Linked DNA regions of Oryctolagus cuniculus. The protein of the gene in region 1 purifies or fractionates together with the protein of each later gene. This does not show direct contact. Links are inferred from orthologs where the notes say so. Each region holds a gene or a part of one and is shown in the gene's direction. Other genes may lie near its edges.

Evidence for each region. Proteins that work in one complex are often made in the same cells at the same time.
Region 2: the proteins of STK35 (region 1) and C7H1orf174 purify together in Homo sapiens (affinity purification with mass spectrometry; 3 studies listed by BioGRID and IntAct, counting the BioPlex papers as one, with this or other methods). This does not show direct contact. The link is inferred for Oryctolagus cuniculus from reciprocal best matches to the Homo sapiens genes STK35 and C1orf174.

The regions. Positions count from the first base shown.
Region 1 is NC_091442.1:27,788,396-27,796,232, forward strand, and holds part of STK35 (serine/threonine-protein kinase 35), read left to right. Parts: intron 1-2,785; coding exon 2,786-3,498; 3' UTR 3,499-3,534; intron 3,535-7,837.
Region 2 is NC_091438.1:162,668,392-162,676,328, forward strand, and holds the start of C7H1orf174 (UPF0688 protein C1orf174 homolog), read left to right. Parts: upstream 1-3,102; 5' UTR 3,103-3,245; coding exon 3,246-3,260; intron 3,261-7,937.

The DNA.
Region 1 (7,837 bases):
AAAGTCCTTGGGCCTCTGTACCTATGTGGGGGACCTGGAGGAAGCTCCTGGCTCCTGGCTTTGGATTGGCCCAGCTCTGGTCGTTGTGGCCATCTGGAGAGTGAACCAGTGGATGGAAGAGCTCTCTCTCCTTTCTGCCTCTGCCTCTGCCTCTCTGTAACTCTGCCTTTCAAGTAAATAAATCAATCTTTTTAAAAAAAAAAAAAAAAAGAAAAGAAAAAAGGAGCGGCCCGGCCCAGCTGGAAAGTATCAGCTTGGACAACCTGACAGGGACAACTTAGATGGAATTCCCATTGTCATCTTGATCTTCTGGGCAGCAGCACCAGGATTGTGGAGATTGGTGACTCCCAAGGACTCTGTCAAGGTCAAGTGGGAAGGTTGATTTTGGTGATCCCCAAAGTCCCAGTGTCTTACACTGTGCACCGTCCCTTGCTCTCAGCGGTCGTGTCGGGGAGGTGTCAGTCTTGTTTGATCCGTGAGAGGATGGAGGTCAGAGAGGTTCAGGGACTGCCGAGGTTCTGACTGCCTTTCCACCCTTCCTCATTTTCCCCGTTTTCCTTGCACTAAGAATCCACCCTGCAGCGGGCAGAGTCGGGGTTGAAACCCAGACTCCGTGCAGAGTCATTTGTCTCCGGGACAAGCAGCAGCACCGGCCGGTGTTCCCTCCTGCCATGCTCACTGATGGAGTCTGATGGTGCTGCCTCCTATCCAGAGTTTCCCTCTCAGCACGCGGCCCCGCCTTTTCACTTTTCAAAAAAAATTTATTTTTTTTAGGCAGAGAGATACACAGATATCTTCCATCTGCCGGTTCAATCCCCCAGCACCGAAGCTGGAAGCCAGAACCTCAATCTGGGTCTCCCACGTGGGTGGCAGGAACCCGAGTGATTGAGCCGTCACATGGTGTCTGAAGTGAAGCAGCGACTTGAACCCAGCCCCTCCAACAGGGGATGCAGGCGTCCCAGGTGGCGTCTTAATCACCCGGCCTTTAGCATCTCCTGAGCTTAGCTGACTTACTCAGAGCAGGCGTCTCCTTCCAGGGGCCCGTCTCCCCCACCCACTCACTAATGCAGGGCACTTGTGAGTGTGTGTATGTGCACGCCTTTTTGTCTTCCCTTGGATTCTCATAATCTAGCCCTATGCTTCAGTCTGTTTTGCAGACTTGTTTTCTTTCTACTTCAGTTACCATGGTTACCAACTTTGTATATAAAATAATGTCGTTCCCCACCCTTTATTCCCCCACCCGAAGTTTCAGTGTTTTCTGACCAGGCCCTTCAGCAGGAATTTGATGGCTTTTAAACTCCTTTCTGGCTTTGCCACCAGGAGACGTTTCTTGCTTCCCCCTTAACAGATCTTTGCTCTTCAACTGACGCTGATCTGTGTTTCAAATCGCTGCTTCATTTTCTGGTGTTTTTAGATCCAGCACCTCGACCCACTCAGCCAATGACCTAGAAAGAGGATTATGAGAGAGGAAGCAACTGATTTTTTAAAAAAAGAAACCCATCTGCCCTAAACTGGTTCTACCTGTATTACTCTGATTGAGAGTAATAGAAACAAGAAAATTATATAATGACAAGGGAAGTGAGGCCTGTCAGATTGTGGTCACAAACCTAAAGCTTTTGTCTTGCATGTCAGGTCATCTCTGGTCTCAGCCTGGAGCTCCGGGGCTACTGGGTTAGTCGTGTACCTGGTTCTCTTTGTAATAAAGTCGAATAAAAGTCTAGTGGGAGGAACCTTCTGGCAGAGTCTTCCTGAGAAGGTGTAGCCCTTGTTTTTGCTATAATGGGTACAGCATGCGGGGGCCTGGAGGACTCAGGTCCTGGCTGAGGTCCAGATGCCCAGTGACCATGCAGGGCAGGTCCCTTCCCTTGCAGTCCAGCTTCCTCATCTGCCTCAGTTGAGATTTACGTAGAGGAATTAGTCACCAGCTTTCCTGGAGTTTCAAGACCACACAACTTAATTCAGATGCCACTGTTCCCAGCGGACTTCCTTTCCATTCCTTTGTCCCCGTGTTCTGTTGTCCAGTTCGTCTCTTGGTCTAGAATTCCCTTCTTGCCTCCTGCTACACTGCTGCCTGTCCTGCAGCCGATGACGTCCTCAGACCTGGGGACTCCTGCCCACCCTTCACTGTTCCTAGAAGTTGACCTTGATGCAGGTATGGCCCGCTGTTGTAGGTCCTTGTCACTCAGCTTCCTGTAGATGGGGCTCTTTATGTGCCCAGCCCGTGCTAGGCGTCTGGTGGGCTAGCAGAGTCCACTGATGGATTGGAGGGTGATTCAGAAGTAAGCAGAGTGGTAGTGCTAGTCCAGATGTGTTCATGAGAATCCTTCTACAGGTCAACAGAGAGGAGAGGGAAGGTCATCTGCCTGGCACGGAGTAACAGTGACAGAAGCCGTGGACATCTAATGGCTGTCTCTCTTGCCTTACCTGTGTCATGGCCAGTACCCTGGGAGGGATGGGCGGGAGCTGCTTGCTTGAAGACCACACAAGGAAAACATAGCTTCTTAGTCCACCAAACAGCAGAGAACTGAGTTCCTACCTCAACTTGATTCCAAACTCCAGTGCTTGATCGGAGCCTCATGCCTGTGTATTGACCTTGTCTGCTGTGGGTAGAAACAGGCCTGTGTGTGAAAGGCACAGGTGTGGTACCTGCTATGCAGGTGTTCTTGGAGCACCTCTTGTTCATCACCTCTGTCACTCTGAACTTTAAAACGCTGCGTTCTTTTATTCTAATAGTGCTGTGCCCGTGTGTCCGTCTCACTCGCGCTCCTTCCTGTCTTTGATCCAGGAGAAAGGATCCTGGGCTACGCGGAGGAGCCGTGCTATCTCTGGTTTGTCATGGAGTTCTGTGAAGGTGGAGACCTGAATCAGTATGTCCTGTCTCGGAGGCCGGATCCCGCCACCAACAAAAGCTTCATGCTACAGCTCACCAGTGCCATTGCCTTCCTGCACAAAAACCACATCGTGCACAGGGACCTAAAGCCGGACAACATTCTCATCACCGAGCGGTCGGGCACCCCCATCCTCAAGGTGGCAGACTTTGGACTGAGCAAGGTCTGTGCCGGGCTGGCACCCCGTGGCAGAGAGGGCAATCCAGACAACAAAAATGTGAATGTGAACAAGTACTGGCTGTCCTCTGCCTGCGGCTCGGACTTCTACATGGCTCCCGAAGTCTGGGAGGGGCACTACACGGCCAAGGCGGACATCTTTGCCCTGGGCATTATCATCTGGGCAATGATAGAGAGAATCACTTTTATTGACTCTGAGACCAAGAAGGAGCTCCTGGGGACCTACATCAAACAGGGCACTGAGATCGTCCCTGTTGGCGAGGCGCTGCTAGAAAACCCAAAGATGGAGTTGCACATCCCCCAGAAACGTAGGACTTCCATGTCTGAGGGGATCAAGCAGCTCTTGAAAGACATGTTAGCTGCTAACCCACAGGACCGGCCTGATGCCTTTGAACTTGAAACCAGAATGGACCAGGTCACATGTGCTGCTTAAAATTCAGGGCTGAGCATCTTGGGTGTTTTAAACTAGGTGAGTACTCTCCTTGTTCGGTGCTTGAACACGAACGCTTGCTGGACCGAGCTTTTACGCTGGAGTTGGGCGGGGCGGGGAGGGGGGTGCAAGAGATCCGAGTGCTTGTTCTCCACCATCTCCCCAAGTCTTGACCAGGAGAGAGTGGGGTTATTTGAATATAAGCCGTAAAGTCTAGAGAAGTCTGAGAGCAGGTTGCGTTGGAGCTGTCCCTTAAGGTTCTTAAGAAGCTCTTGTTCCCACCATCAAGTAATCATTGCTCGCTGTAGAAAATGCTATTTTCAGTGGGTAAATACCGTCCCTGATCCTGTCCCTGTCATCAGATCCAGTTCCGCAGAGTTTAAGCCTTGTAGTTATATGGAACGTTGCTCCCTGTACTTTGCACTCTTTGGAGCCTTCTCCCATCACACTTGAGCGTGGATTTCAGTTTCCTGAGTGTGACATCCCATTTTGGGTACCCTACTTGAACCATTCTAGTTCAGGTAGCAGGCTGTTTCTCCATTGTACATACTACAGTGGATACTCATGTGGAAGCCTCTGCTTACTAGATGTGTGGCGGACTTTTCATTTGTCTAGGCTTGTGGGTTACGTGATCAACCCAATCAGAAACATTCCCCATCCCCATGAGTTCTGCAGCTGAGCTGGGGAGAGACATCAGTTACAGTTGTTTTAAAGTGAAGTGTTGTGTGAACTTGGCCTTAACATTCCTTAAAAGGGTGGGGAGAAGGGCTGGTAGTGTCCAGAGGCAAGAACCGGGATTAGGGCAGAGGTGTGTTAGGTAGAAGGACCCACCTCTGTGTGGGGCCAGGAGCCGGCAGGAGCCTGGCGCACTGGACAGACGAAAGCGTGTACCAAGAGCAGCAGCAGTCATTCTGCGGACCAGAGCAGGGTCCTAGTATGGGCAAGGGAAGTAAGATGGCTCCCGGCACGGGGCAGGTGTTTCCACATGGTTCACCTTCACAGCCCTGCAAGGCTCAAGCCCTGCTGAGTTAAGGACAGGTTTGTCTTACTCTGAGCTGCCTTTTCCTTAACATCAACTTGCCAAACTGGAAATGAGACTCCCAGATAGTGGGAGACAGTGCTGACCCCAGTGACCACAAAGGGAGAGGCCTCGGGCATCTCAGCACAGGGCCTTGCGTCACCTGGGTCACTGCGAGGCTCTCCTTTCTCTTCCTCAGCCTCGTTAATTGGTGCAGTTGGCTCACACCAAGTTGAGCCTGGTTATGTCTGTGGTGCTCTCAGAGTGCGTATTTCTGGAGTGAGTCACTAGCTTGAATTCTCCATTCCACAGACATTTATTGAGTACCTTCCAGGTGTCAGGCCAATTTGTCCAGCTACCCACTGAGTGAGAGAACAACATTCCCCACAGCTAGGTTTGGAGTAGCGGTATGTTACAAGCCACAAGACTAGGCTAGACGGCATTTTAATTACGTTTCGTGCTGTCACGTCCCATTTCCATCTCCTTTTCTGCTTTTGAAAGAATCTAGAATTCAGGTTTACTCTGGTGCAGCAAGAAGGTTGTCATGGGAAGAGGCACCTGGGTTTGGGTTAGGATTATGGAGTTGTCACAACATGTTGAGATCAGGGCTTCTGTTTGGGCACAGCACTTGGGATTTGTGCTGCTTTGCAGGGTGAAGTTCTTTCTCAAGAGGGATGATTCCTTCATCTAGGACAACAGGTGGCCTTAAACAGGAGAAAAGATTAGGAACTAGGAATGTAGCTACAGGTAAGCGTCTCAACTGAATTGTGTGGCTCTGATAGATTACGAGTTTAAGTACCAGTGGTGCCAATTTGACTATAGCCTGTCCTTCCCAGTTCTGGGTGGGCATTTAGAGTTGTGATCCTGGGCCCGAGTCTGTGTGCCCAGAGCCAAACCTTGTGGTGCCAAAAGCTTCAAGTCGGTGGTGTGGGTGACCTGTATCTGGCCAGGTAGAATGAGAGGCTTGATCCATCTATTCATTTAGTGCATTTTTTCCCACACTTTTGCCAGGTACCATTGTAGGCACAGGTGGTATTTCAGTGAACAAGACTGACAGCATTCTTTGCATTTGTAGGGCTTCCATTCAATTGGGAAGTCAGGCAGATAGTAGGCATAGGCAATTTATTAGGAAGTGCTAAGTGCTGGGCGGTGAGGGTTGTGCTTTTAAATGGAAGGGTTCAGGGTGGGATCTTGGAAGAAAAATAAGGAGTTGAGGTAGTGAGTCTTGGATTTCTTAGGGAAGAGTGTCCCAAACAGATCACAGCCAGGGTAAAGGCAAGAGAGGTGGAGCAGACAAGAAAAGAGGGTAGGGAGGTAACCAGGAGTCAAGTCCGGCTTTTATTTTGGGGAGAGGTGAAAATCCACTGGTGCTTACAGTCGTGGCATAATCTGGTCTCCGTCTCCTGCGCTAAAAAGAACGTAAGGCAGCAGGTGAGGGCTGAGATGGGAAATGACCTTGACAATCCAGGTGAGAGATGTTGGCGGCTCCAAGCAGTGCAGAGGTGAGGTGGTGAAGGGATTTGGTAAACTTGGAACTCAGATCCAACAGGGTTTCCTGCTGGATTGAGCGTGAATTATGGGAAAAGGGGAATTAACAGCGACTCCAAGGGTTTGGCCTGATGAGAAGGATACAGTTGTCACCAAATAATGCTGGGAAGATACTGGGAGAGTAGGCTGGGTTGTAGGAAGATAGGCTTTTTCATCTGCAAGTTTGTCACACCTATATAGAATCTAAACGCGGATGTAAAGTAGACAGGTGAATGAGAGTGGGGTTCAAGGGAAGGGGCCAGCCTTCAGATAGAAACTAGGGACTGCCAAGGAGCTGTAGAGTGCAGACCAGAGAGCAGAGAACTGAGCTCCTGGGCCGTCCGGCCTTGGAGCTGTGGAGAAAGGAAAGAGCTAGCAAGAGAGGCAAGGACTTGAGGAGGAGGTGATTGGTCGTGGCATATGCCACCTGGAGCTTGAGTGAGCTAAGACCTGCGCGGAGGACTTAGCAGTAGGCAGCCATTTGTGGTCCTGTGTGGTTTTGGCAATTAACTGGGGAACCCCTAAGTACAGTGGCCTTTTTTTTTTTTAAAGATTTATTTATTTGCAAGTCAGAGTTAGAGAAAGAGAGAGAGGTCTTCCATCCGCTGGTTCACTCCCCAGTTGGCCCACTGGCCAGAGCTATGCTGATCCAGAGCCAGGAGCTTCTTCCCGGTCTCCCACGTGGGTGCAGGGGCTCAAGGGCTTGGACCATCTTCTGCTGCTTTCCCAGGCCATAGCAGAGAGCTGGATTGGAAGTGGAGGAGCCGGGTCTCGAACCGGCACCCATATGGGATGCCGGTGGGTCAGGCCAGGGCATTAACCCACTGCAGCACAGTGCTGGCCCCTAGAGTGGCCTTGAGAGAGGGGTGGGAAGAGGAATCTCAGAGAACGCACAGACCGGTGATTCACAGAAGTTTTGATCTGCAAGTCGCTCCTCGCTCTTGAAATTGAGGACTCCAGGGGTTTGGGTTTGGGGTTATAGCTGTGGACGTTTGTAGTATTAAGTTCATACTGAGGATCTTTTAAATGTTCCCTTCAAATGAATGAATAAATAACAGTGAAACAATTGAGTGTTAAATATATTGTATGGAAAATTACTATTTTGCAAACCAAGTCCAGCTGGTAGAGCGGCATCATTTTGTGGTTGCAGATCTGTAGTGTGGCCGTCATCGGCTGGACTGTCGTTTCCTTCTGCTTTATAGAGTGGTGCCGTGCCACTCAGCGTGGAGCTGCTGGAAGACGCGGGCGAGCACTCAGGAGCGAATGAAAGAGGGCAGACCATGTCCTGCTGTCATTGTGGAAAGGCTGGGCCCGGGCCGGCCTCGGAGAGCCAGCGTGCAGTGAGGCGCTGTGCTGCGGACAGGAGCTGAACGCGGGTGGTGGCTGCAGCCCTGGCGAGAAGGGTGTCTTCAGGGCGCCAGAGAAACGCCTGGAGCCGGAGCATCCTGGCTGCTGGCCAGCTTGTCACGCCTCTGCTGCAGCTGCCTGTAGTAAACACACTTGACCTCGGGCGACCTCTGTAATCTAGGAGTGTAGACTTCAGCTAGCATTTAATTCAGGGCTACATGGTGTCTGCTTTTCTGCAAAAAGTAAGAGAAACGCACTTTGAGTTGGGAACTTGGAATTCTCCTGAAAGGAGTGTTGCCTGATGACAGGGCAGGGATCCAGTTGCATTTTCTGTGGTTGATGGGCTGGGCTTTGTGGCCTCAGGCAAGTCGTCTCACCTCTCTGGGCCTTGTTTGGTTTTTTTTTTTTTTTTTTTTAAATTTAATTAATTAATTTATTTATTTTTGACAG
Region 2 (7,937 bases), on another chromosome or scaffold:
CTCCCCCACCTTCCCAGCTCTGGATTCAGGCCAACCGCCGAAGCCGCAGGACGCCCACGAGTTCCCGACGGCGCCACCCCGACGCCGAAGCCGGCACAGCATCGGGACCTGTTCCTTGTGCCGAGCCGACACCCCGCGGACCCAGAGGCACGCGTGGAGCCCGCTAACGCAGCAGGAGACTCAGAAGGAGGCGGGAGCAAGGCAGGGCTGAGCTGCCACTCACAGAGGACAGGTGAAGCCGGGAGCGCGCCAGCCTTGGCAGAGCCGCCGGCCGAGGAGCAAGGTTATGTCTGCGACATCAGTTCACGCCCGTTAGCTGCTGGGCGTGAGTGGCCGGTAACCCTGCCTGGGCCACTCACGTCCGCGTGTGCCGCCTAGAGCCGGGCTGACCTGACCCTGCTCTGCACACCTGGGAGACCGCGTCACAGCCGCTGAGGTGGTGCCCAGCACGGGCCACGCCCTCCAAGGCACGGCGGGCGGGGGGCGCCATGCAGGGGAGCCAGCCACAGAGAACACGGCTGACCGCAGGCTGTCCCTGGAGCAGGGCTGACCCAGCCTGACCAACACCAGCTCCTGGCCACCTTCCCCTCCCTGGCCTGCAGATCTCCCGCTCTGACCATCCCCCACCATCCCCCACCACATGCCTCCCTTCCTCCTGCTGCCAGAGGGGCGGGGAGAGGGGCAGCTCACGTGAAGAGCAGGGGGTGGGGGGTGGGAGGAGTGGGCGGCTGGAAGGCACAGGGAAGGGGGCCACCTCGTGCACCATTCCGCCCTCCAGGGTGGGCGCTGCCAACGTCCGAGAGCCTCTGCCACCCCTTATAGGCCCCTGTCCTTCTTGGACGGACAGGGCAGGGTCGGGGCACCTTATCTGTCTCCGTAGCCCACGGGTGCCCTCCCTGGTCTGCAGCCTGATGAAGTCAGCTCAGGGAGGGCCCCTCGGGGCAACAGACCTGAGCCTGAGGTCTCTGGGCCCCTCCTAACTCCGCCCAAAAACTCCATCCCCGGGGCCAGCACCGTGGTGCACCGGGTAAAGCCGCCGCCTGCAGTGCCGGCATCCCATATGGGCGCTGGTTCAAGTCCCAGCTGCTCCACTTCAGTCCAGCTCTCTGCTGTGGCCTGGGAAAGCGGTAGAAGATGGCCCAAGTGCTTGGGACCCTGCACCCACGTGGGAGACCCAGAAGACGCTCCTGGCTCCCGATTTGGATTGGCACAGTTCCAGCCGTTGCAACCAATTGGGGAGTGAACCAGGAGATGGAAGACCTCTCTCTCTCTCTGTCTCCCCTCTCTCTAACTCTGTGACTTTCAAATAAATAAATAAATCTAAAAAAAAAAAAAAAAAAAAAAAACCTCCATCTATGTCCGTCTAAAACGCAGCCCCAGCAGGAGCGGGCAGAGGTCCCCCTGCCGTCCTCGGCGGTGGCCAGGGCACAGACGCGGTGAGGCCCGGGACCCAGGCGCCTGTCCGAGGAGCTGTCAGCACGTGGCCTCGGAGGGGAGCCCCCAGCAGCTGAGGGTCAGCACGTGTGGGGGCAAACTATCCCCAGTGTGTCACGACAATGACGCCTAACCAGAGCAGCCAGGAGGGTGAGGGGCCGCGGGAGCCCCCACGGGTGGGAGGCAGGGGTGACGGGCGGCGAGGGGCTGACCTCCGTGCACTTCCGTGGCCCCGGCACCCCCACAGCCCTGCTGAAGGGAGGCGGCGTCTCAGCGCCTGCCCCAAGGTGCCCACGACACAGAGCTGGGAACTCGGGCCCCGCCCAGGCCCTGCAGGCCCCAGGCTGCTTCCTTCCAAGGCCATTGTCCCGTGGGGGGCGCGTCCCCGCCCGACAGAAACCCCGGCAGCTGTGCGGAGACCCGGTCCGCGGGCGCCATGGGGGGGGGGGGGGCAAACTCTGAGCTCCTTCCTTCTCTCCTTTGAAATACAAAGGCCTGACCGCGTCCCTCGCAGAGGTCAGCAGCCTGGACAGACCGCTCCACCAGGGCGGCCTCCGCTGACGAGCCTCTGCCAGCTAACCAGTGGGCAGTTCCCGCCGGCGTTCGCGTGTTCCGCCGCGCACACACAGATGTTTGCGCAGAGAATGCGGGGGGCCTGGGCCACGAGCTCCCCCGTCTGCGGTCTCTCGGGGCCCGGCCCAGCCGCCGTCCCGGGGGACACACCTGTCCGAGGGGGACATGCTCGCCGGCCCCCCGGGGGCCCACGCCCCGCCTCGGGCCGGGTGACAGCAGCTGAGCCGGCCCCCGCAGCTCCTCCAGTCGGACCTGGACGGGGCCCAGCTGCTGCGGGCAGCGCCGGCCAGAGAAGGGGGCGCGGCCGGGGGCTCCGCAGAGGACAGAGCAGCTGATGGGATTCCACAGGCAGGAGGGAGACCGGGCCGGCGTGGGGCCTGGCGCAAGGGCGCGGCAGGCCACGCGCGTCGGGGGCTCCGCATCCGTGGGCACCACCCCGGGCGGCGGCAGGCCGGGCGAGGAGTGGGCGCCGTGGGGAGCGGCTAGGGCTCCCGCTCCCAGCGCACCTGCGGGGAGGGACCCAGGGCCGTGTGCTGTCCCCGTCCGTGCGTGTCTGTCGGTGCGGGCGCACCTGCACCTGCTGCAGCTCCGCTCACTGAACCCAAGGGGTCGGGGGCCGCTCAGGGGGCAGGGCTGGGTTTTCTACTTTTATTTAGAAAACTTGAAAACTAGAAAAGCGGTCCTGACCCCCGCCCCCCTCTTGTCCCGCCCTTCTGCGCAGGCGCAGCTAGGCGACCCTCAGCCAAGGCGACCTCGGACGCGCCAGGAGGAAGCGCCCTTCCCAGACTTGGCCGCTGCCCTTCTCAGACATGGCGGCCCCAGACGCGCCAGGGGTGAGCGCCCTTTTCAAACATGGCCGTCGCCCTTCTCAGACATGGCGGCCACGGGCGCGTCTGCGGAAATGCCCGTCTCAGACATGGCCGCCACCGCGCTCCACCACGCCGGTAGCTGACGCGCCAAGAGGCGGCCCTCAAAGAAGGCAGCCGCCCCTGTCGAACACGGAAGCCACAGTCGCGCCGAGAAAAGCAGCCCACTGCCCCTCCCGAAACCGGCGACCGAGTCACCCGAGCAGCGCCCGCGAGCTGAGTGACCCACGCAGGGCCGGGTCACGTGCCTGGGAACGCCGGCCTGCGATTGGCCGGCCGTCGTGACGTCAGACGCCGGCGGCATGTGTGAGCGCCGCGAGCCGCCGCGCCACTGCGGAGCGGTAGGCCGGGCGCGGGGCGCCGCTCACACCCATGAGGAGGCGGAAGGTGAGGGGCGGAGGCCGGCAGGGGCTGCGCCGGGCGCGCCGAGGGCCGAGCTGGGGCCGCGGGAGGCCGGGCTGAGGGGCAGCCGCGGCCTGGCCTGGCTGAGGCCCCCGGGCGGGAGTTCCGGGCCACGCCCCCGCGGGGGTCCTGCACGCCCAGGGCGAGGGGCTTCGAGCCACGCCCCCTGGAGGATGGGTGTGGGCCCGCGCGGGAGGGGGGTTTCTGGCACGCCCCCTGGAGAGGGATCTGGACCATGTTTGGGGCAGGTGCTTCTGGTCACGCCCCCCCAGGGCCCTGGACCCTGCGGGGAGGGGCTCTGGCCCCGCCTCCTGGACCCTGCGGGGAGGGGGCTCTGGTCACGCCCCCCCCGAGGGCCCTGGACCCTGCGGGGAGGGGCTCTGGCCCCGCCTCCTGGACCCTGCGGGGAGGGGCTCTGGCCCCGCCTCCTGGTTGTGGTCTCTGGACCCGCGCTGGAGGGAGGGGCTCGCCCCTGACCCGGCCTCCGCTGTCCTCGCCGCCCGGTGCGGAGCCCGGCCCCTGTCCCTGGGCTGCGGCCCTGACGGAGGGGGTGGTGGCCGAGCCCCCTCCTGCCTGTGTGCCGTCCCCTCCCCGTGGGGTTCGGACCGGAGCCCGCCTTCCCGCTGCGGCTCTGCGCCTGTGAACCCCGCGGGCCCTCCGGTCTGGGGGGGTCGGCCTGTGGACCCCGCGGGCCCTCCGGTCTGGGGGGGTGTTGGCCTGTGGACCCCGCGGGCCCTCCGGTCTGGGGGGGGGGGTGTCGGCCTGTGGACCCCGCGGGCCCTCCGGTCTGGGGGGGTGTTGGCCTGTGGACCCCGCGGGCCCTCCGGTCTTGGGGGGGATGTCGGCCTGTGGTCCCCGCGGGCCCTCCGGTCTGGGGGGGGGGTGTCGGCCTGTGGACCCCGCGGGCCCTCGGGTCTGGGGGGGGTGTCAGTCTGGGGGGGTGTCGGCCTGTGGACCCCGCCCTGTCACCGCGGACACCGCCCTGTGCGGCTCAGGAGGCGGCGAAAGCCCGTGTGGAGGCTGCGGTGGGGGGGGCTGTGTGTGAACATTGTGGGTGTGTGAGAACACTGTTCGTGTGTGTACACTGCGTGTGTATGTGCGTGTGTGAACACTGTTCGTGTGTGTACACTGTGTGCGTGTGTGGGTGCCGTGTGTGCGTGTGTGGGTGCCGTGTGTGCGTGTGTGTACACTGTGTGCGTGTGTGTATGCTGTGTGTGTACATGTGTGAACACTGCGTGTGTACGCTGTGTATGCCTGTGTATGTGCATCTGTGAATGCTGTGGGGGGGTGTGAACACTGTGTGCGTGTGTGAACACTTCATGTGTGTACACTGTGTGTGCCGTGTGTGTACACTGTGCGTGTGTGTATGCTGTGTGTGCGTGTGTGAACACTGTGTGTGGGTGTGTGTGTGAACACTGTGTGTGTGTGCCGTGTGTGAACACTGCATGTGTATGGGGACACCGTGTGTGTGTGAACACTGTGTGTGCCATGTGTGAACACTGTGTGTGTGCCGTGTGTGAAAACTGTGTGTCCCATGTGTGTACACTGCATGTGTGTGTGGACACCGTGTGTGCGTGTGTGAACACTGTGTGTGTGTGAACACTGTGTGTGTGCCGTGTGTGAAAACTGTGTGTGTGTCCCATGTGTGTACACTGCATGTGTGTGTGGACACTGTGCGTGTGTGAACACTGTGTGTGTGTGCCGTGTGTGAACACTGGGTGTGTGCCATGTGTGAACACTGTGTGTACGTGTGTGAACACTGTGTGCGTGCATGTGTGTGCGTGTGTGAACACTGTGTGGGTGTGTGTGCCATGTGTGAACACTGTGTGTGTGTGTGCCATGTGAACACTGTGTGGGTGTGTGTGCGTGTGTGAACACTGTGTGTGTGTGCAGTGTGTGAACACTGTGTGTGCGTGTGTGTGAACACTGTGGGTGTGCCGTGTGAACACTGTGTGGGTGTAGGTTGCGTCGGGGCCGCCGGCTAAGTTCTTCCCTTATACTGCTTGTGGGGTGAACCTGCCGGCCCCTCTGAGCTCTGCTTGCCTGCAAGTGTGTGTGTGCGTTGTCCTCATTATGTTTAAGGTTTTATTTACTTCTCTGAGAGGCAGAGTTAGAGAGGGGGAGGGAGGGAGAGGGAGAGAGAGGGAGGGAGGGGGAGGGAGGAGAGAGGGGGAGGGAGAGGGAGGGAGGGAGAGAGAGAGGGAGGGAGAGAGGGAGGGAGGGAGGGGGAGAGGGAGGGGGAGGGGGAGAGGGGGAGGGAGGGGGAGAAGGAGAGAGGGGGAGGGAGGGGGAGAAGGAGAGAGGGGGAGGGAGGGGGAGAAGGAGAGAGGGGGGAGGGGGAGAGGGAGGGAGACGGAGGGAGGGGGGAGAGGGGGGAGAGGGAGGGAGGGGGAGGGAGAAAGAAGGGGAGGGAGAGGGAGGGAGAGAGGGAGAGGGAGGGAGAGAGGGGGAGGGAGGGAGAGGGAGAGAGGGAGGGAGAGGGAGGGAGAGCAGTTTCCTGCTTCGGTCCGCTGGTTCACTCCCAAAATGGCCGCCCAGGCCCAAGCACCTGGGCCGTGTCTGGCCGCCTTCCCAGGCCGCGGCAGGGAGCTGGGTGGGAAGAGGAGCAGCCGGGACTAGAACCGGCGCCACGTGGGTGCCGGCGCCGCGCGGCCCTGTCTTCCGCTCTGCCGGGAGCTGTGTCGGGCCAGGATTCCTGGCTGGTGGGTGTTCCTCCCCCGAGGGCCTCGCGGCCTCCGTGCCTCGCGGCCTCCGTGCCTCGCGGCCTCCGTTGTCTTTGCCTGCAGAATCTAAAATGGCGTCGGGGATCTGTCCGCTGCCCGGCTCAGCCCCGGCGGGCGGACCCGGTTAGGCCTCCGGGAACGTCGCGGCTTTCAGGCCTCGTCTGCTGGGCTGCTCCGTCTGCTCGCTTTGCAGCAGTCTCGCCACACACAGACCCCCAGGGACAGCCCTGGGGAGCTCACACACGTCCCTGGGGGCCTGTCCCTGGGAGTGTCTGTCCCTGCGGGTCTGTCCCTAGGGGTCTGTCTCTGGGGGCCTGTCCCTGGGAGTCTGTCCCTGGGAGTCTGTCCCTGCGAGCCTGTCCCTCAGGAGGTCTGTCCCTGGGGTCTGTCCCTGGGGAGCCCTGTCCCTGGGAGTCTGTCCCTGGGGGTCTGTCCCTGGGGAGCCCTGTCCCTGGGGAGCCCTGTTCCTGGGAGTCTGTCCCTGGGGGGTCTGTCCCTGGGGTCTGTCCCTGGGAGTCTGTCCCTGGGAGTCTGTCCCTGGGGGTCTGTCCCTGGGGTCTGTCCCTGGGAGTCTGTCCCTGGGGGCCTGTCCCTGGAGGCCTGTCCCTGCGGCTGTCCCTGGGGAGCCCTGTCCCTGGGGCTGTCCCTGGGGAGCCCTGTCCCTGGGAGTCTGTCCCTGGGGGCTGTCCCTGGGAGCCTGTCCCTCAGGAGGTCTGTCCCTGGGGATCCCTGTCCCTGGGAGTCTGTCCCTGGGAGTCTGTCCCTGGGGAGCCCTGTCCCTGGGGCTGTCCCTGGGGAGCCCTGTCCCTGGGAGTCTGTCCCTGGGGTCTGTCCCTGGGAGTCTGTCCCTGGGGGCCTGTCCCTGGGGAGCCCTGTCCCTGGGGCTGTCCCTGGGGAGCCCTGTCCCTGGGAGTCTGTCCCTGGGGGTCTGTCCCTGGGGTCTGTCCCTGGGAGTCTGTCCCTGGGGAGCCCTGTCCCTGGAGGCCTGTCCCTGCGGCTGTCCCTGGGGAGCCCTGTCCCTGGGGCTGTCCCTGGGGAGCCCTGTCCCTGGGGCCTGTCCCTGGGGGCCTGTCCCTGGGAGTCTGTCCCTGGGGTCTGTCCCTGGGAGTCTGTCCCTGGGGGCCTGTCCCTGGGGAGCCCTGTCCCTGGGGCTGTCCCTGGGGAGCCCTGTCCCTGGGGCCTGTCCCTGGGAGTCTGTCCCTGGGGTCTGTCCCTGGGAGTCTGTCCCTGGGGGCCTGTCCCTGGGGAGCCCTGTCCCTGGGGCTGTCCCTGGGGAGCCCTGTCCCTGGGAGTCTGTCCCTGGGGTCTGTCCCTGGGGGCCTGTCCCTGGGAGTCTGTCCCTGGGAGTCTGTCCCTGGGGGCCTGTCCCTGGAGGCCTGTCCCTGGGGCTGTCCCTGGGGAGCCCTGTCCCTGGGAGCCTGTCCCTGGGGGCTGTCCCTGGGGCCTGTCCCTGGGAGTCTGTCCCTGGGGGCTGTCCCTGGGAGCCTGTCCCTCAGGAGGTCTGTCCCTGGGGATCCCTGTCCCTGGGAATCTGTCCCTGGGGGTCTGTCCCTGGGGCCTGTCCCTGGGAGTCTGTCCCTGGGGTCTGTCCCTGGGAGTGTGTCCCTGGGGGCCTGTCCCTGGGGAGCCCTGTCCCTGGGGCTGTCCCTGGGGAGCCCTGTCCCTGGGAGTCTGTCCCTGGGGGTCTGTCCCTGGGAATCTGTCCCTGGGGGCCTGTCCCTGGGGAGCCCTGTCCCTGGGGGCCTGTCCCTGGGGGCTGTCCCTGGGAGCCTGTCCCTCAGGAGGTCTGTCCCTGGGGATCCCTGTCCCTGGGAGTCTGTCCCTGGGGTCTGTCCCTGGGAGTCTGTCCCTGGGGAGCCCTGTCCCTGGGGCTGTCCCTGGGGAGCCCTGTCCCTGGGGCCTGTCCCTGGGGCCTGTCCCTGGGAGTCTGTCCCTGGGG